3 linked regions of the Styela clava genome follow. The protein of the gene in region 2 binds, or shares a complex with, the protein of the main gene of each other region. Links are inferred from orthologs where the notes say so. Each region holds a gene or a part of one and is shown on either strand. Other genes may lie near its edges.

Region 1 (11,566 bases), on a different chromosome or scaffold from region 2:
TTTTACTAATGAACAAAAAACAAAAAAACAAGAAAAATATCTTTAACTTCAGATGAAACATTGCCGTTCACATAAGTACTCCCTTAGAATATGAGCTATTAACACTCGAATTTGCGAATTTTGTGATGTTTATGAAATTGTGGACTATTTTTACCGCTAACTGCCGTGCGTATAACAATAGGTACTTTTTGATTCGACGATATTTTAAGCAACCCGCACATTTTTCCTTCGCTGATTGATATTGTATCGGTTCCATCATCTTTGCACCCGTAAACTACACTCATGGACGTTTGCAGTTTAATAACAGGAATAAGAATACCAAATGAGAAAACGAACTCCGGACTTTTCTGAAATACAATTATTCGCGAGTGAAAATCACTGTGGGTGCAAAGGTACGCAGGTGCAAAAATGCATGGGTGAAAACTTCTATGGGTGGAAATATCTGTGGGTGCAAATTCCCGCGGAAGCAAATGACCCTGGGTGCAAATGTACATGGGTAAAAATTTCAGTGAGTTCAAATGTAGGTGGTGCAAATGCCCGTAGATGCAAACTTTCAGGGTGCAAATTTCCGTGGGTGCAATTGTACATATTGAGGGTGGGTGCAATATTATATTAAGTTTTGACCTTTTATACTGAATTGCAATGCAGTCTAATGATCGGAGGACTGGAAGATAATCTTTCCTGTCTCTACCCTACAAAGAAATTGTCTGAACAATCTGCATGATTGTTACCATCAGTTCGAACTCGGCCCATCATATTCAAGCCCAGGTAGTCGACCGAACAAGACACACCGTATTTGGCCCTGTTGAATATGGACCTTTCCCCGACCTTTGACCCTCGGAAAATTCTCCCCCATACTTTACCATTGCAAAATTGTCAAGGCTATTTTAAGAGTGCTTTTGCGAGTTGGCGTCTGTAAAATGGGGTATGTGTTTCAAACCATCATTATGATTCATCGCATACAACAATCTGTTTTTTAAAAGTACAGGTAAAGAATTTCAGGCTAGTCTATCACAGCTATTTCTACACTAATTTTTATTACTGCAATTAAATTAAAACTCCTAGAAAGACAGAGTGATCATTGAATTATCTGATTTTTATTTAGGTTCCCAAAACACAACTGAAAACTAACGAATAGAGTTCAAAAACGCGAAAACGAGGTAATGTTTACAATCACGCTTGAAAATCTGTCTGAGTGAGAAAAGTGTCTGAGCGGATGCGAAAAGGGGGCATTGTTACATCACTTTTTGCATCTTGCTGATTGGCGAATGTCACGAAGTAAACAAGGAAGTCGATGCTCGGGGAAAGGTCCATAAGGAAATGGATCGATTTTTCCACTAGTTGCCACATGGGGCGCAACTGCGCAGATTTGCAATGGCGGAACTACGCCACAGCCCAGCTTTGCCGGTTTCTTTAGCGCACGGTCGCCGGTTTTGGAAATGTTTGCGCAAATGAATTACGACAAGTAGGCTATTTGGGATTGGACATATATCGACTTAAGTTGAAACTTGAGTATGTTACCCGCCTATCGGAAATCTAATTTTTGTTTTGAGTTATTCAAGCAGTTAAAGCGTTCAAATTTACTATATAGACCAGGTAGAGATATATCATATGAGAGGAAAATTGCATAGAATAGAAAATGCAACTTCGAAATACGCAACATTTGGCGATACATTCCAACAAATTGGAAAGAAATTCTCGCCCAGAATCAAAATACATCTCCAGCAAGAACAGAAATTGATCGTTACCGGTATATGGTTTCAGAAGAATTAACAACCAAAAATATTTATAAGCGCTTAAAATCAAACCAATTGGATAACCAAATTCATGATCATAATATACCGGTATGTCGCAAACAAACTAGCCTACATCTTACCCAACCTATCCCATGGACAAAATTTTGGCAAATACAAATACCCAATAAGTATAAAGAACTCAACTGGAAAATCATACATAATGGAAACAAATCTGGATGATTTCTGAATTTGTGGCAAGTCAGCAATCTGGCAATATAGAAACTCTATAAAATATGATGGTATTTATGGGATGCAATGCAATTTGAGAGCAGTTTTTAAATGTAAGGTATTGGGGTGCATGGGTTTGATGGACAGTGGAAGCAGAAATGATATTATGCAAGATCAACACATGGATGAGGTTTTAAATAAATCCATCATGCTATAATATCAAGTTTCCAATGCAACCACTGGCCATCTCATGACAATATGTAACAGATTACCGTATTTACTAATTTGTGTAAAATGATTACATAGATGGAAAATGTAGAAATCACCTATGGCATGATAGGTGTTTTTCTGATTATTTATCTAATTCTTCAAAAATTTTGTTTTTTTTAAATAAAAATGCTAATGATGGGTTAATTGATATTTATATTATATATTATAACTGATGATAATGGGAAAATTATGTCTCAACTTCATGCACAAATGAACATACTTCATGGACATACTGACATACAGACATATGGAATTAAATGGTAAATGTATCTGGTCTGAATTATTTAATATTTGTCTTATCTTTTCATTGTATACCTATTCATTGTATGAAATCACCTAAATTACATCACAAAAATAAAATAAAATTTGGACCTCATGCAATAATATTGAAATATATATTTGATTATTTGGATACACCAAAGTCCAAAACTATCATTTGTATAAATCCGATTTGGCAATGGATTTGAATTTGGCAAAAAAAAAAAAAAAAAAGCGTTTTGTTTATTTTGCTTATGATCATATTGTCATAAATAACACTGTGATAGGTGCGAGGATATAAAGATTTATTAATTAAACTTTTCACTACCGGTACCGGTAGCCTATCTGTTGCATAATAAAAAATAATTTTTAAAAAATTGCCAATGGTTGTAGTCTATAAATCTGAAATCAAAATCTAGATAATGCAGTACGGTATGGCTGTTACCGGTACTTAGTGGTAGGTAATACAAATAAAGGGTCTCGTGTAGTTTCGTACCTAACGTACTTCTAGTAGGCGTAGCATAACAATTTTTTGACATGCCAATCCTAACCCTCACCTGACTACGCCATCCAAAAATTACGTCAATACGACGTCACAATCACGTCATAGAGCTTGTCAAATACTCGTACGATCGCCCGAAATAGCATCGGCGCCGACGATAAAGAACTGGCTGACGTCAGCGACCTCTCTCCTATCGGGATCGTTGCGACGAGAAAACGAGAGAAATGGCTGTTCGATTTCGGGTTCTCGTCTGCGCGTCTTGGATGACAGTTCGCATAGTTTGAAGCGCTCTATTACGTCACTGTGACGTCGTAGTGACGTAATTTTTGAATGGTGTGGTCAGGTGGGGGTTAGGATTGATATGTAAAAAAATTGTCATGTTACGCCCACTAGAAGTATGTTAGGTAAGAAACTACATGAGACCCCAAATAAACAGTTATGGGGTCTAGTATAGTTTAGTACCACAAGTACTTCCAGTTGGGGTATCAAAACGAATTTTGCATATGTTATTCCTAACCTCCACCTGACTATGCCATCCAAAAATTACGTCAATACGACGTCACAAACACGTCATAGATCTTGCCAAAGTATATTTACGATCGCCCGAAATGGCATCTGCGCCGCCGATAACGAACTCACTAACGACGGCTATCTCTCTCCTATCGTGATCGTCATGACGGAAAAACGAGAGAAATAGCTCGCTCGATTTCGGGTGATCGTCTGCGCGTTTTGGACGACCATCAGCATACTTTGTGGTGGGGTTATTAAGCCAATGTGATGTCGAAATGACATAATTTTTCGGTGACGTAGTCAGGTGGGGGTTAGGATTGGCATATGCAAAAATTGTTGAGTCAGGCCAACTAGAAGTGCATGTGGTACTAAACTATACCAGACCCCAGTTATGTTGGACGGTCATTTATACGGTAACCTAAGTAATATCATATCCGATATGTACTGGCACGGTGATCCAGTAATCAAGTTGTGGTATGCCATATGATTAAACCGTCTTACCGATCGGCCTCCTTGGGTACTGCACAGTAGTTTATTTGAATTTTCCCATATTTCAGTATTTAATTACTCACCAATATCTTTGATTTTTGTATCAGAGTGTAACGTTGATGTTATTACGAAATCTATACTCTATCTATGATCATAAAACACTGCAGTGAAAGATGTATTCAAGAAGAACTAGGAACTCGAAGGTGAAAGAACCTGAAAAAATTGATATTGAGAATGAAAGAAAAGATGATGATACAAAGGATTGTGTTGTTGTTTCTAGACTCCGCCGCAGACCTAGAGATGGAAAAAATAATAATGAAACAAATAAAAAAAATTTTAAAACTACGAGGGAAATGGAACACAAGTCAACTCAAGATGATAAGAGTGAGAAAAGGCATGGTAGAAATCTGAGAATTATTTCAAATGGAAATACAACTCAACGGAAGAGAAAGACAACTTCAAAATTAAAAGATGAAACGAGTGCTTCTTCAGAAATGAACAATAAATCGAATTCCTCTGACAATTCAGTTAACACTCGTCTTTCATCTTCAACTGAAAAATCAAATAACGTTGAATTATCTTCCCCTATTAGCCCCTGTTCTGTAGTGCTCGATGAAAATGTTGAATATACGAAACATAAAAAACCAATCCCTAACATGGAGAAGCTAAATAACTCCAGTTCAAGCTCATATGATAAAAGTATAAACACCCATAATTCTATTACTAAACGCAAACACTCGGCTGAAGATATTCTTTCTCTTTTAGAAGGGGAACATAAACCTTCGAAAAGCTTCAAGGATACCTCTCAAAATATGAGGAAACCACAGAGCCATGAGAATTTATCTTACCCCGATAGGCCAGCCTTAAAAACCAGCACTGGGAAAACTAGAAAAATGAGAAGCGATTCCTCAAATAAACAAACAAAACAAATTAACAAGACTAAAAGCGAAGTTCAAACAAATAGCACCCCTACACTCGCATCATGGCTTTCTTCTTCCCAAATATCAACCAGAACCAACCAAAGGGAAGATTTTCTTACTGTATCACCCCCAAGTTTTGATAAATTTGGAGACAAAACTTTTGAATCCCATTTAAGTAATATGAAGAAAGCCAACATGCATACTCCGAAAGAGAGTTTACGTGAATCTAGAATCGGAGGTACGCTTCAATGTAGTTCCAAAAGCCCAGATCAAACAAAGAGCACCCCTACACTTGCACCATGGCTTGCTACTGCTCATAGATCAACCAGAACCGATCAGGGTGAGAATTTTTCTACCGTATCGCCCCCAAATTTGGAATTGCTTTCAAGCAATGTGAAGGAAGTCAATACTCCAAAAGAAGGGTTACGTAAATCTAGAATTGCAAGTACGCCTCGATACATATCACAATCTGATGACAGCGACACAGAAGATTTGTTTGGTTTTGAAAACTTACTTAATCCTGTCGCTGACGTTCTAGAAGATGTTTCTCCTATTATAAGTCACCAAATTCGGAGAACACGAAGGAGCAAAAAAGTATCACCATTTTATCAAGGCAATAATGGTCCAAAAGAATGGAATGGAATTTTAGACGTCACAGACTCACATTGGCGTAAGAAGCCATCCAAAACTGGAGCAATTAAAACTAATCCAAACACTGACAATATAGAAGTTGCAGAATTATCAGAAATTCATTTATTTGAAGATATTCCTGAGGAAAAAAATGAAAATAATAAGGAAGATGGCTATTATTTTCAAGAAGATCAACCATTATCTAAGCCAAAAAGAGCCCCGAGAAAGCCCATTAGGTCTCAACAAGATGAATTCAACATAGAAGAACAACTTCCATGGAGAGAAATAATGGAGCACGAACTTGTTATCGAATCTGTTTAGCCAAATTTATGTAGTTTTACGTCTACTTCGTTATTTTAATGAAAGATTTTTTTAATTTTCGAATTTTTTTTGTATCATGTATGACAATAGATTCACAAATTTTGTTTACGATGTTATTCTTTTTTTCTAATATTATTGCCAGAATGGATTAGCTCTGCCTGTTATTATAATTCCACTGCCAAGTTTGGAATCAGTAAATAATATCTCAATGTCAGCTTCTGCTTATTTATTGCTGATTTGATAGCCACCACCGCCTAGAAATGATTGACTTGAAGATTTATATGGCATTCATTCTCAAGGTTGAAAATTTTTTTCAAATATTAAATTTTTTTGACTGAAATTTTATACTTATTGTCTGCTTGTTTTGCCATAGCTTTGTTTCTGTTTGCCAGGCAATAGTTTCTTTTGATACCTATATCTGAACTAATTTCATTAGTTGAATCATTACATTTGCATCACATGTTTTATGTTGTCAGTGTGTTGTCTGCCTTTGTAGTTTTATATCATGGAACAAATAGAGTATGATAGTCGACAATAGTATATTAGTTTTGTGTTACTTTAATTTTTTCAATATTTCGTTTAAATATTTTTGTTTGGAAACTGTACTTAGATTTGACAAACTTTGTGTAGAACCATATCAAATTCTTTATTAGTAATAAAAATATGGTATATTGACATGACAGATTTAACAGGGAAATATTCTCACTGATAAAATTGTAAGTCTATGGTGGGGATGTCACACTATTTTTATACCCACACTGTTATTGTAGATCATAAATTACGCTAAAATTAAGGTTTCTTTTCTGTCTTTGAACTTAATTTTCCATTTCTGTCTGTTTTTTGATATGAGTCTATATTTCAAGCATTCAAAGAAGTCTGATAATAACAGTTTCGTTGTGTTTTTTGGTGATTTTTTAGTCACAATTTTGTATGTTCATACCCTTGTACAATGTATTGCATTTATTTTTCAATTTGATTCCTAAAATATTACAACATGCTCGTCTTCGTTCAATTGTTCTAGTAAACCTCTACGTTTCATTACAGATTGTTGACAATCTAATATTAGAATATTGTTACAAATTTAGTGCAGTTTTCTATTATTAATAAGAAAAAAAAAGATGTCGACAACTCTCAAACCATACCTGAATGCTGTAAAGTCTACTTTAACAGCTGCTACGTGTCTCCAGAATTTCAATTCTCAAGTCGTGGAAAGGCATAATAAACCAGAAGTCGAAGTTCGTAGCAGTAAAGAATTGTTGATGACGCCGTTGGTCATTGCGAGGAACGAAAAAGAAAAAGTCATGATAGAAGCTTCAATCAATTCAATCCGCGTCAGCATCGCCATAAAACAAGCTGACGAATTGGAACAAATTCTTTGTAGCAAATTCACAAGGTTTATGATGATGAGAGCTGAAAGTTTCGATGTTCTACGTAGAAAACCAGTCGCTGGGTACGACATTAGTTTCTTGATTACTAATTTTCACACAGAGAAAATGTACAAGCATAAATTGGTTGATTTCGTCATTCACTTTATGGAAGAAATTGACAAAGAAATAAGCGAAATGAAATTAGCTGTCAACGCACGTGCCAGAATCTGTGCTGAAGAATTTTTAAAGAAGTTTTGAATATAAGATGCTGTAGAACTAGAATTTCAAGTACTCTTTGCATCTACAATGAATGAACTGGAAAATGCCTTGAAACGAAGGTTTTTTCTCTATGAAAGATGTTTTAAATTTATCATTATATTTATCCAGTATAATAATTATGATATAGTCCATAATATCCAAAGTGTTTAGTCAATATCAATTTTACGAGAATGATATTTTTTCTCCGATTTCAATGATTTGAATCACTGATTAAATTTGATGAAGCCAAATAAAGGTAAAACTTGATAACAAAAAATTTCAGTTTTCTCTTTAAATAAAATTCATATGCTTGGTATATTAATGCTTGATTCTCCCATGTCTAACTATATATATCAACGATCTTAAGAGTGGATAGGTTATTTTTATTACTATATGCAGAATATCTAATTGATGCTTATTGTTATAATTGAAATAACCAGCTGCTTATTTTATTATCTTGTCTGGTTGGCTCCCATGTTCTATATCCCCGCATATGAGCCGACCCCACAAAAACCGCTTTAAAATAGTGAATTTATAAAAATTCTCATATAAGCTGACCCTACAAATCGTAACACACCGTATGCACGTATAACAGTCAATGATGTTCAATTCGAATTTAATAATATTCAAATATCGGTATTCGCTACCTTCTAGTATCGTTTTGTGTTTATATTAATATTGAATATCGCACACACATTCTAGCGCCCCTGTCCACGTTTTAATTAAAAACATTTTTCGATTATTATATTTTATGTTTTATCGTAATCGAAGACAGCCCATTGTGACGCGACTAAATTACTGCCGACATGAAAGGATTTATATCAGCGCCGACTTGCAGTACTTATAACACGTCGTGGACGTTTGATTGAAAGTATTTTACAATTATTATAGAATATTTAACATATCTGGGCGACCACAGCAAATTGTGTGATAAATAATTGTTTCCATTGACAGTGACCGAGAATAACGGGAAGTTTTTGCATTTCCAGCCTATTAAATAGCTTCTAAATGTTATTTAGTATCTATCGCGGTTTTATTGTTAGCCTGGTGTTGCTAATGATAATATCGTTCAGTTTAAGTTTGCGGTATTTATTTATGAAATGTCATTTAGTTCAAGTGCGATCAGAGTTATGCGCTTATAAGCCGACACCTTAGTTTGACAACTTTTTTTTTAGTTTTGAACTCGGCTTATATGCGAGGATATATGGTAATTTGTTCTCATCTGACCAGGCCACCTCATTGAATTTTTCACAACGGTAGCCCTGACCTCTAATGCCAGCATTCATCCATATATACTGCACAGAGTTTTGGCGAAATGAATTGATTGTGGAAACAAAAACTTTAAATATATTTTCCAATTGAGATTCTGACTGACTTAATTTTTAGATTTCAGCTCTATTATGTTCCCCCTTTGTTTGTTTCAAGGCACTGCCTTAGGATCCTGTTGTTAAATATTAGGACCAAATATAGTTATGTTAACTTTTGTGGCCAGTATTTTCAGGGTAGGAATCGTTACCATAGTAACATATTATGCTATCATTTTTGGATGTTACATAACTGATATCAAACTTAATGTACTAGAAGGTATATTTTTGGAATTTTCAATATAGATAGGTAATCATTCGAATAATTTCTATTTGTTGTAAAAATTGACATAAAATTGGATTTTACAGAAAAATTACAAAATTTTAGGAAATCGTCTTTTTTTTTATGTCATTGATGGATCTTTGAAAAACATCTTTCTCAGATGCCATTAACTTTAAGCAAGCTGATGTAATCAATTTTAGTAAATGTTTCGAATTTATCGCAATTTTTTCAGGTACTAAAACCCCTGTTTTCCATGTTGATTAGGGAAACATCACCCATGTAACATCTATGACTGCATTACAATAGTTACATTCAAAATCTTGTTTTGCTGTTATATTAAATTCAATTAGTTGGAAAAAAGTTGGGAAATTTATTATTGGATATCAAATTCATATTCTACTATTAAATGGTAATAATGATATTATTCCATGATATACTGTATTCATTAATTATGTGATAAACAATCGTTCTTGCTCTTATTTCTTTTTTCATTGAAACTAGCTGATTAATTCATTGATGATTGAACAATGTCGTTTTTCATTGTAAATTTTTTGTGGCAACTTTAAAATTGTGCATTTTCAAAATTTATCTGTAATGCAAATTATCAACAAAGCAAATTGTTTAATGATGGATTGTGTAACCAGCCTGGGTCTATTTTACTTATGACACACCATTAGCGATTATATTTACATGGCTTGGCCGAATATAATCCTCAAGTGACAACAATCTGTTTCTCGAGCATATTAGTAACTTGACAAATACAAGAAGGGCTGCATTTTTTTTTGCTTTATGATTATGATCTTTCAACTAACAATGATCAGCTATGCTTTTGGGAGGTGAAAATTATTATTTGTTGAATAATATATTTAAAATTGTGTATTGGTTTGGTTGTAATTTCCATTTGTAAACGTATAGTAGTAGCATTTATAAGTGATATTGGGTAGTTTCAATTTGATATTTGTTGGACAATATTTCTAATTAACCAATGTGCATTTATGTTTTTTTATATTAATCAGAGTCTGCTAATTAGTATTCCAATAAAAGAAGCAAAATTGAAATATGAAAGGAATAGAGTATGAAAACCAACTTATGGACATTGATGAATCAAATTTTACGAATGGAGATATAGAAAATAACAGAAAAACTTCAATATTAGTTGATGGACGTAACAGAAAGAAAAAAGATACAAATGTGTTATATCATTTCATCGATGGTTTTGTTATTGAAGAAGCAGACACTCCATTTACATTAGACACGGGTTCTTTACTCACAAAACAACAACTCCAAGATATCTGGAGGAAACAGCAGGAACTTATCGCTAAAGATCGTGAAGAAGAACGCAAGCTAGATAGAAAGTCTATTTTACCTGAGGAAACGAATGAAGCATTGTTAGATACAGTACATAGATGCGAATATTGCGGTAAACGTGGAAAAGGTCATCGCTCGTCTCGTTTTTGTACTCTACTTTGTTGTCGTCGTTATAATATTGCTGTTGCGAGAAGATTTCGAACCAAGGCAAATAAAATTGATAAAGATTCTAATGAGGAATCCATTGAAATACCGAGACAAAAAAATCATCGTTTTAGCACTCCACCTCTTTCCCCCGTTATTCCCTACTTACCACACGTGAAAGATGAGGATGGTCAAATGGTCACTCTTAGTCCGAGCAAGTGGACAGTAGATAATGTTTGTGATTACATTTCGTCTTTGCCAGATTCAGAGAGTTTTGCAAAAGATTTTAGAAATCAAGAAATTGATGGTTCTGCTCTGCTTTTGATTAAAGAAGATCATTTAATCGGAAGTTTGAATATAAAACTGGGACCTGCGTTGAAATTGTGTTCGCATATTAATAAGTTGCAAGAATGACTTAATGTAAATTTATTTATAGTCGTAGATTTTGGTCTAACTATGGTCATGGATTCAGATGCCATCATTCGTAATTGTCTCAAGTCCATACATTGCTCTTGTTTGAATTATAGATGACCGTACATTTTTGTGCAGTTAAAAATATGTTGTAAAAATGCCGCTTAAGCTTTCTCTATTTACTTTTCCTGCTCATATGTGTTAGCTGTTCTTTTTGTTTATTGCAATTTGCAAAGCATTGTATTTCTCATAATACTACTATATTTTTTTTTTGGTGATATGTCTTTGTGATTATCTACCCTAGCAAACACTTATGGGATTTGATATCAGAATTGTAATTTTTGATTTTCTGATCCAATATTCTTATACTTCTATTAAAAATGCCAAAGAAACTTGAAATTCTACTTTGATTTAAATCCGTTCATATATTTCGGAGTTGATAAAATTAATTCCTGGTTCAGGCATAAGATGTTACAGCCCGACAGGCATGATATTCAGAAAACTCATTCAGATTTGGAAAAACGTTATGCTGTACCACATAACATATAAACCTATAAACTGAACTATTCTCATAAAAATGCGTATTTCTTCACAAGACTAAAAAAGATGACATGAGTCACATGATGT
Region 2 (10,926 bases):
GCAGCATCTTGATTGTCGGCAAACCCGTTCAGTGATCCCGTTGTATCGTGCGTCACAAAATGTGGTTGAACACATGCCGTTGTGCTGTCTGCTGGTCACGGAAAAGCTACTTCTTCCATCACCTGTAATTATATATATATATAGTTTTGGATTCAAGATAGTTGGCGTGGAAGGAGGTACACGAAATTGGTATGACGTAACGTGATATTCTGCTGGAGCATCAAGCGATAAACCGTATATTCATACGTGTGCAATCGATTAAAAACAGTATATTCATGACTTTGACATATTATAGCACTATTGGTCTCGTCTTACCTTTAAACACTCGTCTGCATTCTGGTGGACTTGTGAAAGGAACGTGATCATCTCCCGCAAGTAACCATGTTCCTCTGTAGCAATCAATTGCAGTCGGGCCGCTTGCGTGAGCAAATAGTTTCTATTAAAAAGGGAACGTTTAATAATAACAAAACTGCACGACTTTCTGAATTTTACGATTCGGGTGTTTTAATGCCGACTTCCGCTAACTGAGGGTGTCGTTATGTGACGACATTATAGTTATATTCTTGATTTCATAATTTAAAGCTTTTAAATGAAATATTATACTTAATCTATACTTTGAACGTTATTCTGCATAATATGAGCGAAGAATAAGGGAAATTAAAAACAAACAAGCTAGAGCGAAGTACTCCATAACAGTATTATATTACTTATTTATTGTTTGTTAGGGTTACATTGACTTACATTACATTTAATCTTGCAGTGTGTACCATCAAGATATTTCCCCACCGATTCACGAGTGGAACAAATCAACATGCCATTCTGAATGTTCGGAGTGTTGCAGCTTGCAATCTTTCCTACATTGACGTATTCAAATTAAAAATAAAAATTGCAAAAATATAGAAATCTGACTAATAGAGTGATAAAAAATATTGAAACAAAATTTTTATTGGATGAATTTCATTAATCCGTGTATAGTTTGCATTTTGAGAACCACGAGTTAAAACGCGGGAACGAATAATCCTCGCTAATGCTGTGTTAATATTCGATTTCACAATTCACATAAAGCAGTAAATAACAGTTTCACTCGAACGTGTATAATTCACCGAGTCGCGCCAGTTGATTCATTCTCAGACAGATATTTATGAAATTATTGGAAACGTGGGATTTTCTCCCAAGTCAATCATGGCATTATTTTTAACAACCCTTCGGTTTTCACCCAAACTTCAAAAAAACTATATAAAAAACGGAAAATGTATTCAACTTTAGGAGTAAAATGAATAAACTGCGAAACAAGCAAAAATACGATCTTCAAGTATGGTAATGTAATGATTACCCAGTGATTTAAATAGAACTATTTCTTAGTTTCGGTAGTTTAAAAATTCAATAGACACACTCACTTGCATCCGACGTCTTTATAGCAGAGTATAAAATGATGTAAATCCATAAGCTTATACATGAATGTACTACCTTCATTCTGATATATATAACCTTACTAACGTTTCTTCGCAAATTTTCAAATGGAAATATTATTTATATTTTTATATTCACCAAAATCAATTTAATAGAGTTATGCGCTAAATTTCAACGCACCACAGTTCGATATCTACAAGAAGCAAGCCCAAATAGACACTAAATGGGTATATATATCTGCGTTGACTTATAAACTTAGATAGTATGACGTCACTATTTTCGTCAGTTACTCGAGCATCAAGTTTGCGAGGGCGGATCGAATTACAGATGTGTCGTCTGAATATCAAAAAATAAACGTGTTATCTGATGAGACGTGACCTAAGTTTTTCGAAGGATACTCACCATTTTAAGTTAAATGGTTTCGGGTAGCTTGTGCTACCCTCGGGGTGTGAGATGTAAGTCGGTGTACTTTGTCATTGAATACTTTGTCATCACCTCTAACGATACGCCAGAATACTAGGACCGAGTGGGTTCCCAATTAGCATCGATACAAGTTATTGTGAATGCCAAATTTTATTTTCAATTGTCTGATCGGAATTAACCCGTTAACTGTCTAATATAGGCTACTCTGTATGATTCCGACTGATTGAATGTTAAACTCAAATATCTAATTTTGTTCTGTTTTCACTTGGTATATTAGGATAGGATAAGTAGTTCACTATGTTGCGCTTTGCCATTACTGATAAAAAGAATTGTTTATTGCTCTTGATATTTTATTTGATACGATGGAAAGCAAATCGAAAAAAAAAAAATTTAATAGGGCTTTCCGTCCCGTATACATATTATCTGTAAGTTAGGGCCGTTGTATTAGTCCAAAGTCTGAGAGTTTGCTAACCAGCCAATTCACGAGGAATGTCTCTATTGTATTTATTTTATTCGGTCACAGTGTGGATCTAATTTGAAATAAAACAACCACTGTCATTTATACAAAAAGGGGTTTTTAATTTTTTAAGACCCGAAATATATTTGGTTAGCGCGCCTTATAGGTTGGTGGGCACTAATATTGAACCTAAGACCTGCTATGCGAAAATGTGTCACGAGAAGACTTCCGCTTACTTCTGTAGATCATTTTCTGATGAAATATTCTCATGTATATATATAAGGAAATTTGATAGGAAATGTTTTCTATATACTGTATATGTATTAATAAAGTATATTGATGTAAGAACGTGCACGTGCGATTGAAGGTGAACAAGAATAAATATATATTGTCCTCGACAGACGTCTCAACAAACAATATATATGATTCCTGAATTTAAAAAATATTGTAGCAATAAGAGGATGCATTTTCCTCATTAAAAAAATGAAAATTAAATGTGCTTGCATTTTGGATCGAATAAAACTATACACTGGTTTATTTGACAGATGACTGTTAGTTTAGTTTACAGCGATCTAGAATGCAAATTAATTACAATAATATAACAATGAGCTCATTAAAAAGTGCGTTATCAGCAAATCTTTTGTGATCACGATGTTGTCCCCACAAGCCAAATTAATCATTGTGCCCAACATGGCTCAGTCATCATAGACACGCCACTGTTTGGGTATCTCTCAAGTCCATGCACCGGAAAAAATAACTGGCTTACTACTCCGATCACCATATGATTAATCCGTCTTATCGGCTTTCTTTTCCCCTTGAATAAATATGTAAATCCTCCGCCGCTGGGGTAACATTCTCCGCGATTTCTTTGCCTTTATATCGCACGTGTTTGTTTCTATTCAATATTATAATTCATATTATTTCATCATTATTCATTGTGTGGTTTGTTGTTTTATATTGTAAACTTTTGAATTAAATACGCCCTCTTTTTCAAATATAGCACCCAATTTCAACTGTTTTGAAGCTAAACCAGTACCGAAATACTTCGCTGTCTGTTGGTTACGATGTTTCATTCGCGCTACGTAATCCCTAGGAAGATGAACAATTCCCTGAAACTTTTCCCCAATAAGATGGATGAGTCTTTCGTGACCCCTCATCAACTGCTGTAAGTCAATGTTCACCGTTTCTATTTTTCATGTGGATTATTGCTTTATATTGATTCTTACATTGTGAAAATGAATATCTGTATCTATAATTCATATATATACATGAAACTGAGCCTCCGTTTTTCCAAAAAAACGTATTATCGGGACATGACATTCATAATATATACACAAAATCAAGTTCCGGGGGAGACGCAAGACTTGCGAAGGCATGAACGAAATAACTTCTATTCATTTTGCATTCATTTACTACTGGGGGCTTTTGTGATAAACAATTGCTAATATGCAGCTGAATAAAACGATATATTCTCATACACGGGATCAGTAGTAATAGTTTGAATCCATTAGCATAAACTCACTCTGCATCTAGGATTCTATGTCCAATAAGTATGAAGTTCAATTCCGATCCTCTAAGCAGGGGTGGCCAACACGTCGATCGCGATCGACCGTCGGTCGTTTCATCCTGAGTGGTCGATCGCGCCTGATCTTGAAACGTAACAAAAGACGTAAAAAATTTGTTTTAGACCAATATTCAAGCGGCGCCTATTTTGTGTTCCGAAGAGGCGAATACTGTGCGTGTGCGAAAGACGTTATGTCTGGCGCATATTGGACAAAGCTCGTTTTTACGTAACAGTTTACAAGTTTCGTCACTGATAAATATAAGAAACAAATGGGCCGACTTAGACCAATGAATGTTTCACTTCGGTATTATGTGGAAAATTTTGTTAATTCTGGTGTATAAAAAGTAATATTGGTCACCGTAGCTGGACATTAGAATGACCATATTCAATGTTAATTTATATCAATTCTGAGCGTACCAGACAATTCCGGCGATTCTGCGTGAGCGGTAATACCTCCACTTTATTTTTTTAGGTGATGTCCCCAATTAAAATCGCATAACTTTCCTTAATATCTCCATGAGGCAGATAACGTCAAAATTTGACGCATACGTCAACGCAAACTACGATGAACCCTTTCGGTAATTATATTCACCGCACTCCTAGAGAATCGTCTCTCATTGGGCAGTGAAAAGGTCTATGTCATAATCAGAAATAAAGTAACCCAATGAGCGATTTGACGCCTAAGTTGAGAAACATATAATAGCTTTGCAAAGTCCAACTAAACGATTAGGATTGTTAGGCCTAGAACCTAAAATTTAGTGTAAACTAAGTTCAGTTCAAAGTGGGAGGATTATTAGAAGGATGGCACTCGATAGAAACATCTTTGGTTAGGGTACCAAAAGTACAAATAGTACAACAGAAGTCTTACCATATATCACTTTCTACTTTATGCCCTTGTTGTTGTTGTTGTTGTTGTTGTTGTGAGAAATAAATAGATTTTCTAAGCATTTAGTCCTGGCGCTACTCTTATATGAGAGCAGCGTGTACACGCTTCGTATGACATCCGTTACAATTATTTTGCCAGTGTGCTATCATTTTGGTATTTATAGTTACAGTGTTCCAACCAACGACCGGTTCCAACCCAATATCTAAGAACAATTCCAAAGTATTATCCTCTATAAAGTCGAATTATGTTTTGGATTTGATAACGTGGTTCCACTTGAGTGGTTCCTTGGGAGAGGCTTCACCTTCCGTCTCCTTGCTTAGTTGTTGCAGTGTCTATTCGGCTGGTTGGACATCGCGAGTGATTGTTTGCGTATAATTGAAAGTGTAGCCTTAAAATTGCCGATATTTACCGCACTGAATTATCAGTTTATAAAAAATAGTTTTGTGACAGATCCGCCAAAGTTTACATTGCTTTATACAGTAATATTCTGGAGTACCGGTATCACAAATTTTTCACTTTGATTTTTAATACCCTGATAGCGGTACCAAACAAAAATAGAAGTCCCGATTTAAAAGTGTATTGTGTTTCTAGTACATATATTTCGGTGGAGTTGTGTAACATAGGAAAATAATGTTTGGCATTGAACATTTTCTGAGTTTGATATATCTATATACTGATATACCTGTATACAGATAACGGTAGCAGTTTTTCTGAAAATATTGCACTTATTTCGGTATTACTTCTGATATCTACGTCGTAATACTGTAATAGATGAGACTTACATTTTTTTCTATAATCCAACTGAAACTTGAATTGTATCTTATCCTAGGGCTAAACCAAGAACAGAAGAATAGGGCTGTAGCAGTAACAAAGTGATGAGCTGAAAAATTGGGGTCTCATGTAGTTTCTTACCTAACATACTTCTAGTGGGTGTAACATGACAATTTTTCTACATATCAATCCTAACCCCCACCTGACCACACCATCCAAAAATTACGTCACTACGACGTCACAGTGACGTAATAGAGCCCTTCAAACTATGTGAACTGTCATCCAAGACGCGCAGACGAGAACCCGAAATCGAACAGCCATTTCTCTCGTTTTCTCGTCGCAACGATCCCGATAGGAGAGAGGTCGTTGACGTCAGTCAGTTCTTTATCGTCGGCGCCGATGCTATTTCGGGCGATCGTACAAGTATTTGGCAAGCTCTATGACGTGATTTTGACGTCGTAGTGACGTAATTTTTGGATGGCGTAGTCAGGTGAGGGTTAGGATTGGCATGTCAAAAAATTGTTATGCTACGCCTACTAGAAGTACGTTAGGTACGAAACTACACGAGACCCAAAAATTGTAACGAACAAACCTAATTCATTGAAATGTGAAAATAAAAATGTTTTTTTGGTACAATGGCATAAAGTTCTTCATGACATACCAATGAAAATTTAACCAACTAAGGAATCATAGTAACTTCAGAATTCAAAATCGAGAAAACATTTCACATTGCATTATGTATAAAATTTGCTTGTTAATAAAATTTAGAATGAAACTTTGTTAAGCTATGCTTCCTCAGCTACCACGCTCCTATGCCATTAGGATATCAGTATTGTGTGTTGATGGTTTTTGTTATGTATTAACAATAACTTTGTCATTTGGTTTAGTAATTTAGTAGAATTTGCTCAACATTTCTCCAAGATGATTTTGCTTGAAACACAGAATCGAATAATATCGGATACTTTGACATATAAATTTGAATGTGCAGTAGCAGGGTAAGCTTATTTTTTAAGTTAAATTATTTGTTATTTTTGAAGTTTCAGTGTTACATTTTTATTATTATTTTTAAAGGTCTAAACCAGAATCAATTGATTCAACAATTGCCGATTTTGATGGAGTGTTATATCATATCTCGAATCCAAATGGCGATAAATCAAAAGTCATGGTCAGCATTTCTTTGAAATTTTACAAGGATTTGGAAAACCATGGAGCAAAAGAGGTACATTACTTTGCAGTGAAAGAAATAAACCTTTTTGAGAGTGTGGTGAATAGTTTGGGACCTTTGTGAACAAGACTTGTTATATTTTATGAATTGAATTATGTTCGTTTCACATTTGGTTGTTTATATAATATTGATTACTAAGTTATTAAATACAGTAAATAAAATTATTCTATTTCAGCTTCTAGACAGAGTCTACGGATGTTATCTGACTTCACCTGAGTCTGGACACAGTGTCTCACTGCTCTATGATCTTTCGAACATTCCTAAGGATCACGCCAAAATTGTTGCAGATGTACGTTATTTCAATTCAAATTTTTTTTTCAATTTTCAGATGTAGAATTTACATTGGTACCAGAACAATTGACATTCCCAGTACTTGTTTTTCTAGGCTGCAAGTTTGAAAAGGAATTGTTTTGCATCTGTGTTTGAAGAATATTTTGAAGCACAGGTACAAGGGAAACAAGTGAAAAGAGCTGTCGTCAACTACAGAGATGATGAGACGATGTACGTTTTGAGAAATAATACTCGAATTATACTTTAAGTCTAATTTTTGAAAATACGCCAAACTAGATATTATGGGATATAGTATTTATGTTAGAAGACTCATAATACAGTATAAATACGATTTATTTATGTTTGCTTGTATTTTATTCAGGTATGTGGAAGCTAAGAAAGATCGTGTTACAGTGATATTCAGCACTGTTTTTAAAGATGATTCTGATATCATCTTTGGAAAAGTATTTATGCAGGTAATTAAATTAACATATGAACCTAAGTATAGGTAGGCCATATTATGTAGAATTATATCTTTGGCCATTAGAAAATAATAAAAGCCCCATCATTTGCTGCTTGTTAGGAGCCGTCTTCACAGAGAGAAATTGTGACAAAAACACCACATAGCATATTAGCTATTTACGAGTTTATCCACACTTTTTAAGTAAATATTGAAGCAGGAAGATATTTGAGCGCTCCAGAAGTATGTGTACCAATATGTAGGTAACTAATTTTATTCGCCTACATCAAGTTGTATAAAGGGACTGAAAACTATGGGCAGGGGGTATATTCGTTAAACAGACAGTCCCTGAAATCGTAATAGAACTAAAATAAGGAAAATCAGAATAAAACTATGGCCTGACCCTAACCTGGTACACACACTATGGGAGTGCCGATGTTTGACCAAGTATATTTGGATACATGTTCCTGAATTGTACTAGGAATCAGTCAGGGATTTGTATTACTTAAACATGATATGCAGGCTGTATGAAATATTGTAATAGGAATTCAAGGAAGGCCGCCGAGCAAGTGCCAGTGCACCCCAGGTTCTTTTCACTCATAAAGAACCTCCACTGGAATTGAAGGGACAGGATGCTGCAGTTGGTGATAACATTGGATACATTACTTTTGGTAAGATTTTGTTTCCTTCTGCTAAAATCTACTAATTCCAATTGTAGTTAAGTTCCAATAATTAAAACTAAATCAGATATTGTATTATGTAACCCACTACACAGGAAATTTATTTGATCATTACAATTATAACATAAAGCCATTTACCCCTCAACATGGCTGATCAGCTTCTATATCAATGCCCAAATTTTTCTAGGACTAGGACACTGCTAAGCATTCTTTTCATCCTTATTTTTAAAGTTTAAAGAGGCTGTCTGAGTGTCAACTGTCATTATGGATACATAAGTCTACAATCGCAATTCTTTTTCTACATTTGCTGAAATCAAATATTGTGTAGCTGCTATGTATGTTTTATTTGTATTTCTAGTTCTGAATACTCGACACACCAACCCTGCTAATCGTGACAATACAATTGATCTCATCCACACATTCCGAAACTACTTGCATTATCACATCAAGTGCAGCAAGGCTTACATTCACACAAGAATGCGAGCAAAGACTTCGGATTTCCTTAAAGTTCTCAACCGTGCCAGGCCTGACCAAGCAGTAAAAGAGAAGAAAACAATGTCGTAAGTTAAGAGTGTATCTAGAAATGGGGTGATTCTATTACCGGTTTATTTTATTTTGTTGATTTTGCTTACATCAAGATTTAATCAGTATTAATATACCATAATCGCATTTTAATTTTTTTTTTTAGTAACAAAATTTATGCAGTTTTGTGATTAATGAAAAATTTTTTTATATTATTTTGAGATTTTTATTTGCTTCTTTGTTTTTATTGTTGAATTGTTTTTAGTAGCAAATTTAATCATAAATGCTGATTGCAGGCTTTTTTTTTTTAATTGTGATTTTATCCCTAATTTTTGTTTTGCATGAACAGAGGAAGAAGTTTTTAATGTCAACGAAATGCACTATTTTCATTGTTTGAAAGGTTTGTATTTGCACTTTTTTTCTGGAATTATTTTGCTGCTTAAAAAATCCTAATGATTACATAACCAAGAAATTTTTAAGTTGATTTTGTTTTCCACATGTTGGAGTTGTAAACATTATGCTTCTGGGATAATCGGACTGTGAAGTCAAAGTTCAAAAAGTGACTCAGAATTCGATTTCCGGCTCGGGACTACCGTATAAAATTTTACCTACAATAACTTTGCTGTTTGCTACCTTTTTTATTTCATTCCGAAATCTTGACTGAGGACTCTTAGCATTCAGAAATCTATAGTTGGATAGTGTCTGTGGGCAGTGAAATACATTTAGATTTCTGGTTTCAAAACCAGGAAAAAGCACATAAAACTATCGAATGAATAGGGTGGCCATTTCCTGGGAAAAGTTGGACTAGCAATTACAAAATAATTGATAAGCCAAACTACCTTAAAAATTAACACCCCTTTAAAAATATGAACTGAGTTTCCTGTTTTCATATTCATTAATACATGTACGCACGCGTTGAAATGTTTTGGTTATAATCAGCAATCTCATTTCATGAAAGTATCAAGATTTTGAAGGATGCATATTGTAACAAATTTAAGAAAAGATTACCAATTCCTACTGTTGCGAAAAAAAGTATATTTGTCATTAATTGCTTCTTTTCATATTTAGGGGCAAGACATTCAACCGTTGATGTGTAATGATTAAACTACATTTTATACATATCTACATATTACCCAAGATTCCAAGAAGAATAATCAACATCTTTAAAATCTAATAATTATAATCTAATCAGTGTAATATTGATTGAAGATTTTTCCAATAATGAATCGAACATTTCGTGGCTATGCCTGGAATGCTTCAACATCAAAATGAATAACTGCAGATTATTTTATTCCATTATGATGATCCTTATATATAGGGAAAAGTTTGGGTACTCCCGAAATATGGTACCAAGATGGCGCACAGCCTGAAATATGTGTACCAGGTTAGGGTTCAGGTTGTGCGTCATCTTGGTACACATACTTCCGGAGCGCCAAGGTTTGTACTACATAGCTAGCTATGCCAACATAGTTTAACTTCCGATGTAAAAAATAACAATACATTTAGCATAAAAACAGTATGGCTGTCTACTACAGGGTAGTTGCATAGGTTTATTGCTATATATTGGAAGTTTACGTTGGAGTCTTCTTCGATTTATCATTTATTTTATATTGTATTGATCATGCGCTAATTCTGCTGCTTATGATTGTCTTTTGCCCACTAGCACAGATAATTTAATGTGATTGTTTGGGAATTGTTGAGGAAATTTATTATTTCGTAATGAGCTTATATATCCTGCACTGCATTTAATATTATTGTGTGGGAAACTGAATAAAACATAACAATACTGAAAGTTTTATTCGCAAATATATTCCAAAAACAAACAAATTTACATTTTTTTTTATTTCATGTAGAAACTTTGTAGTTCAGGTGTCAGTCCCGTGAAATTGATTGTCCCTCGTTGATAGCTTGTTTAACCCAAGACTCCTCTCGTTGCCTTTCATTTAATTCCTGGAAATAGTCGATGTATATTAAGAAGCAAACAACTGCAGGGTTTCGCCCAGCTTTGGGGCTATTAGTTATAGCAAGTATGCGTACAATTGAAATTCATGTAACTCGATAACTTGCAAGCAACGTTTTTTTTATAATCATCTGTCATTTTAAGAAACTCGTAATTTACGCTCCACTTCAGCCCTTCCATAGAGGTAGATAGTAGTTGAAACTAATTAAGTTATTAAACTTAGTCATTTTTATTTTTTAAAAGGATACCCCAACACTCTCTTGTGCCCGAGTTACTAATTACTACAAGCATTGAAATG
Region 3 (9,947 bases), on a different chromosome or scaffold from region 2:
AGATGGCGTCCATGAACTTGTTTAACATTAGGCAAGTTGGTTGCCGGCCGTTGGTCCTGCCCGTCCCCTTCCAATTATATTTTATGAATGTTTTTTCCATTTATTGTAATTGTTACATATTTTTTGATATATTCGGAAAATAAATCATTATCTCTCTTCCGTCAAAAACCATAAGAAATGCATTACCCGCCAACAAAGATTGGGATAGGAGTGTATCGTCAAAACGAGGAAAACTTCCGCTAAAGACAATGTATAACATGTTGTTATGTAAAATCTATGCTTCCGCACTCTATAATCTATGTTTTTAGTTCTGAGCTTTGTGGGAAACGGCCGCGCGTACCGGTATCAGTAAAAACCTTTTTCTATGTTTTGACTATATTAACAATCTCCTTGTCGTCTTTGCGGTTTTGTTAAATTTTGTGCTGTATTTTTGACAAGAGGTCAAAATAGTTTTTGTTTATTTTCACTGTTCTGTCAATGTTCGTTCGCAGCGCTCCTTGTGGATTTTCACCACGCCCTCGAAAAAAGAGTGTGCACTTTCATTTATATTAATTTAGCCCATTATTATATACGAATGTTTGCTGGCGAATTCGAAAGTTGAGTGTTGAAAAAATTTTGTGCCTTCTATAAAACGAATGTTTATCCATATTATTTTACTTTTTATTTTCAGTAACAAGACATACTAGCAGAAACATAAACTAAGGCAACCCTAATGGCAGTTCCTGGTTGGTATCATCTTCCTGTGTGGTCGGTTTGTTGCAGGGCTGCCACTTTAGATGTTTTATAGCTAGATCTAGATGTTTTTTTTTCAGATCTAGATTAAAATTTGGAGTATAGATGTTAGCTATAAAATCTTTGAGATATTTTATCCAGTGGGATATGAATAAAGGGATGTCGGGATGTGTATAATGATATTGTACCGGTAATACTGTAATATGTGAATGAATATTATTTCATTACTTAGAACAGTAGAAGTAAGTTAAATATATTGATGTAAGATTGATAAAACTCATTTATATTATAATTATCTACCGGTACCATATGTAATTAAATTATTCGAATTAAACATGTTTAGAACAAGCTGACAAGTGAAGTTTTAATTAAATAGAAAGAACCGAACGGCGCTGGCCCGATGAGTCAGTGCTTAGTACCTTAGTAGTAGTAGTAGGCTATTGCAGTATTGTATTGTTGCCAAGTGGTGAGAATCCTAACGCTTTGCACGATAATATACGATATTTTGCCATGTATAATACGCACTTTCATGGTCAAATTTAGTCTCACAAATATGGGGGTGCGTATTATATATTGGTCTAGAAAATATCAAAAAATATTAATTCTCATTTTATGCTTCAACTGGCAAGTAATTGTCACATTTTATAATCTTGAGTTCTTAATTTAATGTGGCAAATTCTGTTAGAATCAGACCATGCTTGATTCGGTAGAAGCATACCCAGTTCAACAACAATTTAGTGTTGATGAAGGCGTAGAAAAAATGATGAAATAAAAGTGATAAAAACACGCTGTTGTACATCCGTTAACTGCTGTCATTGTCTGGTCTATTTCTGTTGTTTCGCCGAATCGGCAATACTTTATCATAATAAATACCATATGAGTGACCTACGGCTTCTCTTTGTCTGAAAACACGTTCTGATATCAGGTTTTGTCAGCTTTTAAAGGGGGAGGGACAAATAACTTTACAAGATACCTCTAATGTCAAATCACATCATGATTGGCAGATGTTTCATAGGCAAATACATAAAACATATTACCAGATATATATATAGTTAACAAAAGGCAAGCAGACAGAATGCTTGAAATGTCTGGAACAAACACCTACAAGGCAAAAAAATTTTGATATGCATATTATGCATGGAGTTTGAAAAATTCTGGTTGAAAATGTACTAAAACCTGGGTGCGTATTATCTATGGGTGCGTGTTATACACAGAGAAATACGGTAATATATATTTATTGGTTTCTCGCCTACAATGCCGTTGAGAAAACAAAATCTTTCAGACTTGAAATAAAAACCAAGGAATCTGAAATAACAATGGGGTAGTGTAAAAGTGCCTTAATGTGGTTGAAAGCTGATCGAAAAATATAAAACTATCAGAGTGAAATTCCCTCCAAACTCTTTGGAATCGTAAAATAATTTGCCGCATCATCCTAAACGTTTTTGGTAATTCATATGCGTGTTTTCTAATTTCATAAAATCGAGTGCCATAAAAAGTCCCTGATAGAAGTGTTGCATAAGTAAAGCCCAAAACTACACCAACAGAGGCTTATTCGTTTTGTTTCAGAAGTTTCTTATAGCAGTACGGCACACTATACAAATCGGGTGACATTGTCCCGTTTCAGAGAAACCCATTTTACAGATGATCAGAAACCCCTCCGACGTCTGGACATTGTTGTCCCTCAATATCGATAATAATACAGTATAATGAAGTTGCGCAAAATACTACAAAAAAGCGCAATCTAGTAACATCATCATTGAATTCCTTGGGAAAAAATAATCCGATTTACCAAAGAAAAAAAATTTTTACTGTAGCATTCGAGAGTTTTTAGCAAAAAACGGTAATTTTGGTCATGTGACGGCCGCGATTAACTTATTATTATTGAGACAAGCACGGTGTGATATGACGCATCTGACGTGGTCCCAGATGCCCCTCGTTTGTGAGACGCATAGAGTGTTTGTTTTATTGAGCCAAATGGAGGGAAATTCTTGGAATTTGGATAGTGTGCTGTACTGTATAGATACAAACATTGATTAAATATCTGTGAGTGTGACCCACTCTCTTCTGTTCCGCGATAAAATTTGACCCATTCATTGAAAAAGGTTCACCAATCCCTGGCCTAGAGCTTGCCAAAGTATATCTACGATCGCTCGAAATGGCATCTGCGCTGACGATAAAGAACTAACGGCAGCGATCTCTCACGTATCGGGATGGTTGCGGCTAGAAAACGAGAGAAATAGCTTGCTCAATTTCGACTGATCGTCTGCGCATCTTGGATGACAGTTCGTAGAGCTTTAAGGGCCTTTTACGTCTCTGTGACGGTAGTTTTTGGATGACACAGTCAGGTGGGGGTTAGGGGTTGACATATGCAAAGATTTTTATGCTACGCCCACTAGAAGTACCTTAGGTACGAAACTACACGAGACCCGGATTATGGACGTATAAACTCTGGCAGTCTGGGGTTGACATAAACTGAAAAAATATAATAGTTACAGCTTCTAATCCTTATTTACCAACTTTGCAGAGTTCTTTTAAAAGCTTATATTTCCAGGTTTAGAAAGCACTCATTTGCAAGACATTAGGACTCAGTGCTCTTCAACCGGGTATACGGTCTACCCAAATGTATACCGGACTATAAGTTGGGTATACAACCGATAATGGGTATACGAAGGGTGTACAGCCTAAGTCAGGAATTCTAAACTCTAATTACTGTTATAATGAACGAGAATATCGGTCGGAGACCGAATACTTATCGATCAAAAGTTAGGGTATCCCCAAAACAGAAACTGCGGTTTCGATCCATCCGCTCTTACTCCGTGTAGCGACACCGTGTGTCCCATCACTAATTAAATAATAACTCGCTAATTATACGATATAGTTCATCCAATATCAATAGGCTTCTGCTCGGAGATATGATGAATGAACATGCAAAATTTGGAGCAGATTCAACCTCGCTTTCGTGAGATATCGCGTGCATCTAACAGACAGACAAATACCTATCAACATACTTACCGATCGAGATCGATAAATAATAAAATATTCAAGCGGAGACAACAATGCAAACGCGGCGCACATTAAATATAAAATGTCATTAACGCAAAGAACCGACGTGAGGACATTGGTACATCACAAATTATATAGATAATGCAGTCACATGTCTGGGTTCGTGATTTCGCTGCCATGCCATGCACACTTGCACATTAGATTGCATGATGATATTGATATTTGTAAGGTATACAAAGCTATTGGAAAATTGTGAAAAGTATACCATGATAAAAAAGGTTGAAGAACACTGCATTAGGTTATCAACTTTAATAATGCAAGGATTGATATGTCTTTGTAATTACTCAATGCCGAATGTCATCTATCTAAGCTATTCCAAGCAACTTCAGGCTGTTAATGCAGCAATCTCTAAACAAATTGCTTCTGCTTTATGAAACAGCAAAAGTAAACAGAAGACTGTCATGGTGTAAGTGTGGAGCAATAAATCGCATTCCACATCCTATAGTCAAATAGAGCTGTCTGGTTGTGTATGCAAGCAAGGATATGACGATTTCTATTCTAGGGTAGTCGTTCAAGTATTCAGGAATCATGAACACAGACTTCTCACCAGAGCCTCACTACCTCAAAGAATGGTAAAGGTGTTCAGTTATTTTAATATTTCACAGTAAATATTTCGACCCATAGTTGCTCACTGTAATAAGCGTTAGGAATACGCTCACCATCTTATCTGTGACTTTGTGATGATGACCCTGTGTTCACAGGTTGAAATCCTGAAGACCAGCGACTCCCAATAGGTGCGCCGATTTGCTAAGTGCTCTGCCTGTCCGCGAAAATTAATAGAATTGTGTTAAACATAACTAATATAGGATTGAATATTTTACATATTGTATTTTCATTGTTTCTTAGTTTGAATGCTGTGTATACTGGAATATGAATTCACCTTTCTATGTTGTTTACTTTCCTTACGTAGTAGTGTCTGCCTCTGTTGTTACGTAACAATAAAGGTGAATACTACTTGCTGCAATTTTTCGCGAGCTGCAGTTTAGTTATTTTCTGAACCGATTTTAGCGAACATGAGTGATTTTTATTTTCTGAACCAAGTTTAGCGAAAATGAACGATTTTTTAGTATTTCAAGGGAAAATCAGTCAAAGATGAGAAAAAGGAGTTGTCCTTTTGGCTTTATATATTAGGCCTACATGTTTACAAACTTTATAAGGCATAAGGTAAACATTAACGATCACAAAATTGAGTTTTATTTAAAGGCAGCAATTTTTTTCATGTAATTGCGCCGTGAGTTTTTTTCTTAATAATTTGGCTCCACCCCACAAACAAAAAGTATGGGAATCGCTGGCGTAGTTTAAGTGACAAACTGCAAGTTCATAACAAAGTGTGATTTCTGTTCACCCTATGTTTTTGCCCTCACACCTCTTTGCCTTAAATAATATTAATTGTATTGCTCACAAAGTATTTCATGAAATGTAGTTGGTGGATCTAAAAGTCATTTGAGCCAGAGTTCAATAATAAGAGTTTAATTTCTCTTGACTTTTTTCATTACAATATTCATACTAATAAATTAACACTTTCCTAATACTTTTCAACAGGAAATATCATTATGCCAGCTTATCACTCTAACCAAATACCTGCCAAGTCAATTGCTAATGTAGGTTTGCTGCCATTGCGATGTACCACAAAGTTTCGAGGACCTGCTCCTAGAGCCCCTCCAAATTCTGAACAAGATGTTATTGATGAAGCGCTGTATTTCTATCGTGCAAACATATTTTTTCGTAATTATGACATCAAAGGAGATGCAGATCGCACTTTGATCTATGTTACCCTGTATCTACAACAATGTTTGAAGAAATTGCAGAGAACCACTACCAAAGAACAAGGCAGGAAAGAGATGTACAGTCTTGCTGTGTCTCCTTTCGATATCCCAGGGGACCCAGGATTTCCTCTTAACGCAATGTATGCAAAGCCTCAATCTCGACAAGATGCGGATCAGATGAAGGCATACTTCCAGCAGATTCGACATGAAGCTGGAGAAAGGCTCCTGGATAAAGTTTATGATCCGAGCACTAACTCGCTAAATAAATGGTGGATCTGTTACTCCAAGCGACGCTTCATGGACAAAAGTTTGTCTGCACCTGGCCAATAATGTTGCTGTGGAACTTGGACAACAATTCACTATAATGCATATTCCAGAAATTAAAAAAATTATGTGTATGAACTGTATGGGCATACAATACATCACATGGTTATGTCCGAACAATGACTAAAAATTTGTTCCACTTGTATAATCATTATATCTATATTGTATCAGTGTTGAGTGCAAGCCGCTGAACATTTAGCCACAGGTTATCAGAGTTTCAATAACTTTTTAAAGCTAGTTACTGCACTGCCGATATATACCATGAGTCGAGTTGCAGTAATTTGCATTAGCAATAGTGAAGTGCTGAAATAAAGTTCACATTGTTTTGCGATGAACTAATGCTTTTTTGAAACCCAAACTGAGATTATCATTGTGTGACTTGCTTACTCATACTTCAGAAATGTTTTGATTCAATGACCCAAATTTATTTATTCAAAGCAGTGCCCCTTCATTTACCGCCTGTAGCATGCAAAAGATGTTGATACTCTTTTATTGCTGCTCTCAAATTTTGTAATTTGTTCATGTCATGATTATATGAAGTCATTTTATGTCAAAGGCATATGTAATGATAAATTGATACTTATATTCGTGGCAAATGCTGATTTTTCGGGGCTCCCGAAGTATGCGAACCAAGATGGCGGACATCGGAATGTAATATGTGTACTAGGTTATGGTTAGGCCATAATATTAGGTATAAATACTACGGGAGGCTCTTGGCTAGTCTTCGAACTGATAATAGGACTAAAATAAGAAAAATTGTAAAAAAAATTATCGCTTAACCCTAACCTGTTACCCATGTTACGTTACGATGTCCGCCATCTAGGTTCGCATACTTCGGGAGCACCGATTTTTCTAATGTTGATTTTTTTCAATACTCCACTTCAATATTGAAGATATATTAATCATGAATAAATAGTAAATGGCATTCCATCCACTATTTTATTATCATGAAATTCACAGAATTCAGTGACCCGAAATCTTATGAATGAAATTTTAGAACAGACTACAGATTGAATGGAAGGTTCGTATACGCCAAAGTTTTTTTTAAGTCTGGGTGACGTAGTCTAAATTTTTTTCAACAACGAGTCTAGAGTTGATTTTTTTTCATCCAGCAGTCTAGTCTTAAATTTTCCCCGTCCCCTGCTCGTTGCCGCTAAATATTCATTTTTTTCACTCCAGGCAATTATGATCCTTATTTTAAAGAACATAAACATGTGAATAAATAGATATAATTAAAATTAAAACAGTAAATACCGCAATTCCAGTAAAATCACAGCTAATTCGTTTATTACTCAAGATCCGTATGTCAGTGACAAAGCACAGATAGATGCAGGCGCGGTAAATATAAAGATGTAATATCGCAACGCTCCCAATGATAGAAGTGAAACAACACCAACAGCTTTGGATATGACAGCGGCCCTTAGGACTCAAAAAGGGGTATAAAATAAATTGGCTATAAAATGATTAGTATTGACGTTACAAATCAAGGTCATAAAATACAAATATTTAATAAAGTAATATAATATTAAAGTAATATTAAAGATTTCTGGACGAATACCCTTTATCAATACCACGAATAACGTTTTTTATTTGAGGACATATCGCACAGTTACTTAGACTAACTAACCCAGTGGTTCTTAAACTTTTTGAGCCGCGCCCCCCTTTGAAAAGTTTCATGAACTTTGCTCCCTCCCTTTTTTGTTTTGGAAAATGCTTTTGCAATGGGCAGGTTGCTTTATAATAAGATGGCGCTGTAAGAGTGTTGGTCTCGCAGCGTCATTGCTCAGATTGCTTAGGCATAAAACGCATCGGGGTACAATTTCGCCTTTCACTGTCGTATGTATAAAGCCATACACAAATACTAGTCATCAATATTCTCTTTTTTCCGCTCAGTTTGCAATACCTGGTGAAGTCAACTCAAGTTTTACGTAAAATTAAACACGCAATAAACGTATGCTCTTTGCGCTTTAATGTATTTTCTGCATATACGTTTACGACACGTAAAATTTCAATTGTTCACTTCACTATTGAGCAATGCAAAAATAATTACTGTGTGTTAAAAATAGACAACAATTACAGACTTCTTGGCTTGCCTAGCGTCTCTAAAATTCACTACCAATATCTTCGGACAACCACTAGGTCAAAAATACAGTTTACACAATGGAGAAGTGCAAATGAATTTATGTAGATTTGTAGCATAAAAAAGCCGTTCAATTGTTAATAGTAATTATGCATGTGGACTTTTCCCGGCCCTTGAGCGCTGAAAAATAAAGTCCCCAATGACGTTTGCGATTGCATTTTGTTTAAATCTCCGATTGTTTTCGCTCTCATTCATCTCAACAAATATTTTGTGCGGCGAAAACATGATAATTACTTTTTGCGTTCTCGCATGGAACCATGACACCTGTGGGGAAAACGAGATAGTTTTTATTATATATATAATCATATCAGCGACGAGATTATAAAGATATAATAAAGAAGTGAATCCGCAACCAAAAATTTATTGATGGAAAAAGCGGCATTATAAAATACTAAAACTAAAACGGAAAACACCAACGGGTTTTGTTATGGGATGGAACTCGACAGTTCGAAAACACTTTCTTAGACATCGCAAATCTCGTATATTCCTTGTTCACGTGGCACACCTGTAGTGTGGATAAAGCAATCTTTTAAAATATTTATATCGATCTAGTGGCGTAGCCAGGGGGGGTGGTTTTACGGGTCGAACCCCCAACCCCCCCCCCCCCCCCCCTCCCCCCCCCCCTTTTTTTTTGAAATGTAAAAAAAATAAAATCCCCCCCTTTTGAAATGTAAAAAAAATAAAATCCATTTTCTGTATCATAGATAGCAATTTTCCGTAGCTTGAAATGCTTTTTAGACCCCCAAGACTAACAAAAAAAAATTCAGAACCTTTCAAAAATTTTGGCTACGCCCCTGTATCGATCATGGATTAAATGTTTTATTCAACAGGAAAACCAATACATATCCGTTGGAAAAAGTCGGCTATTTTAACGAGTGGTGTAATCTCAACAACTGACCCAGGAGTCGTACCGCGGATGTTATGGGGCGATGCATATGTATTTCTGATTTAATAATATACTTTATATGTAATTTCATTGTACTAAATTGAATATATATAGGCCTACTTTCTGAGATTTTATACCAGATCTTTCTAACGACAATAACGAATTTGCATGAGCGCAATATATCAAAACTAAATATTGTCGGGCAGTTGATCTCACATCCTTATGTTCAGGGAATGACGTGGTATTTTAGATCTGTAATGAGTTTATTTTGTCATGAGTCGCCGCAACCGCGAGCTACCTTGAACACAAATAAAGTAAAATAGAGAGACATTTCGAATTCTTGTAGTTGTCATAGATTGAATATTGCGGGACAAAAAAGGGGTATTATACCGTGAAAAAGCAGGCATTTTTTAACGAACCGAAGAACGGAGACGTTGCATGGAAATTTTCGATTCCATCTTGTGACCTCTCGCGTCCCCCCAGTTTAACACCACTGAACTAACCGCAATCAAGCTTCACTACCGCCGACGCATCAATAAATATTGACCATTGTGACGAAAGATTTGCTGAATTGTCTGACTTAAATTCAAAATTCAACGCTACAGCGATTTTCATACTAGATTATAATTTGTCTTAATCATTGACGAAAACTTCTTCACGACTTTTTATAAATTAAAAGAGTTTACATTAAAGTTTTTCTCTTAGTTAAAATTTGGAGAATAATTTATGTTAGCGAGAAGAGCGCACAAAAAGTCTGGCGAGCCGCGGTGTGCCCACCCCTGCTCTATATATACTGATTCGTGACCAATATGCAGCAATGTCAATTTCCTCAGAATTATTGACGGATACGCAGTGACGACATTTCTGAAATCTAATTTAACCCAAACATTTGATAAAAAAAAGACATAAGAGTCTCGAGACCAGTATCAAGGATATTGTTGACTTTTTATTTTACGTTGGCGATCAAAGCAGACAACGTGAGAAAACAATCAGAATAAAATTAATTTGCAAATTTAGGCTTCAAATTCATTTCTAT

What was found.
Region 1: actin-related protein 2/3 complex subunit 2-like (region 2) and actin-related protein 2/3 complex subunit 4 share a complex: the UniProt entries of both Caenorhabditis elegans proteins name them as parts of the arp2/3 complex. The link is inferred for Styela clava from reciprocal best matches to the Caenorhabditis elegans genes arx-4 and arx-6.
Region 3: actin-related protein 2/3 complex subunit 2-like (region 2) and actin-related protein 2/3 complex subunit 3-like share a complex: the UniProt entries of both Caenorhabditis elegans proteins name them as parts of the arp2/3 complex. The link is inferred for Styela clava from reciprocal best matches to the Caenorhabditis elegans genes arx-4 and arx-5.

Annotation. Positions count from the first base shown.
Region 1 is NC_135255.1:6,166,869-6,178,434, reverse strand, and holds actin-related protein 2/3 complex subunit 4, read left to right. Parts: upstream 1-6,846; 5' UTR 6,847-6,982; coding exon 6,983-7,489; 3' UTR 7,490-10,093; downstream 10,094-11,566. Other genes in the region: polyhomeotic-like protein 3, read left to right, coding at 10,136-10,942. UniProt on the Caenorhabditis elegans protein: Functions as actin-binding component of the Arp2/3 complex which is involved in regulation of actin polymerization and together with an activating nucleation-promoting factor (NPF) mediates the formation of branched actin networks.
Region 2 is NC_135259.1:12,804,138-12,815,063, forward strand, and holds actin-related protein 2/3 complex subunit 2-like, read left to right. Parts: upstream 1-6,396; 5' UTR 6,397-6,432; coding exon 6,433-6,506; intron 6,507-6,582; coding exon 6,583-6,730; intron 6,731-6,911; coding exon 6,912-7,025; intron 7,026-7,121; coding exon 7,122-7,237; intron 7,238-7,388; coding exon 7,389-7,482; intron 7,483-8,010; coding exon 8,011-8,137; intron 8,138-8,504; coding exon 8,505-8,706; intron 8,707-9,017; coding exon of another isoform or gene 9,018-9,033; exon of another isoform or gene 9,034-9,068; intron 9,069-9,736; coding exon 9,737-9,758; 3' UTR 9,759-10,495; downstream 10,496-10,926. Other genes in the region: uncharacterized protein LOC120338534, read right to left, coding at 1-122, 316-436, 742-854, 1,398-1,473; uncharacterized protein LOC120337963, read right to left, coding at 10,541-10,618. UniProt on the Caenorhabditis elegans protein: Functions as actin-binding component of the Arp2/3 complex which is involved in regulation of actin polymerization and together with an activating nucleation-promoting factor (NPF) mediates the formation of branched actin networks.
Region 3 is NC_135257.1:4,068,056-4,078,002, forward strand, and holds actin-related protein 2/3 complex subunit 3-like, read left to right. Parts: upstream 1-5,317; 5' UTR 5,318-5,348; coding exon 5,349-5,891; 3' UTR 5,892-6,815; downstream 6,816-9,947. UniProt on the Caenorhabditis elegans protein: Functions as a component of the Arp2/3 complex which is involved in regulation of actin polymerization and together with an activating nucleation-promoting factor (NPF) mediates the formation of branched actin networks.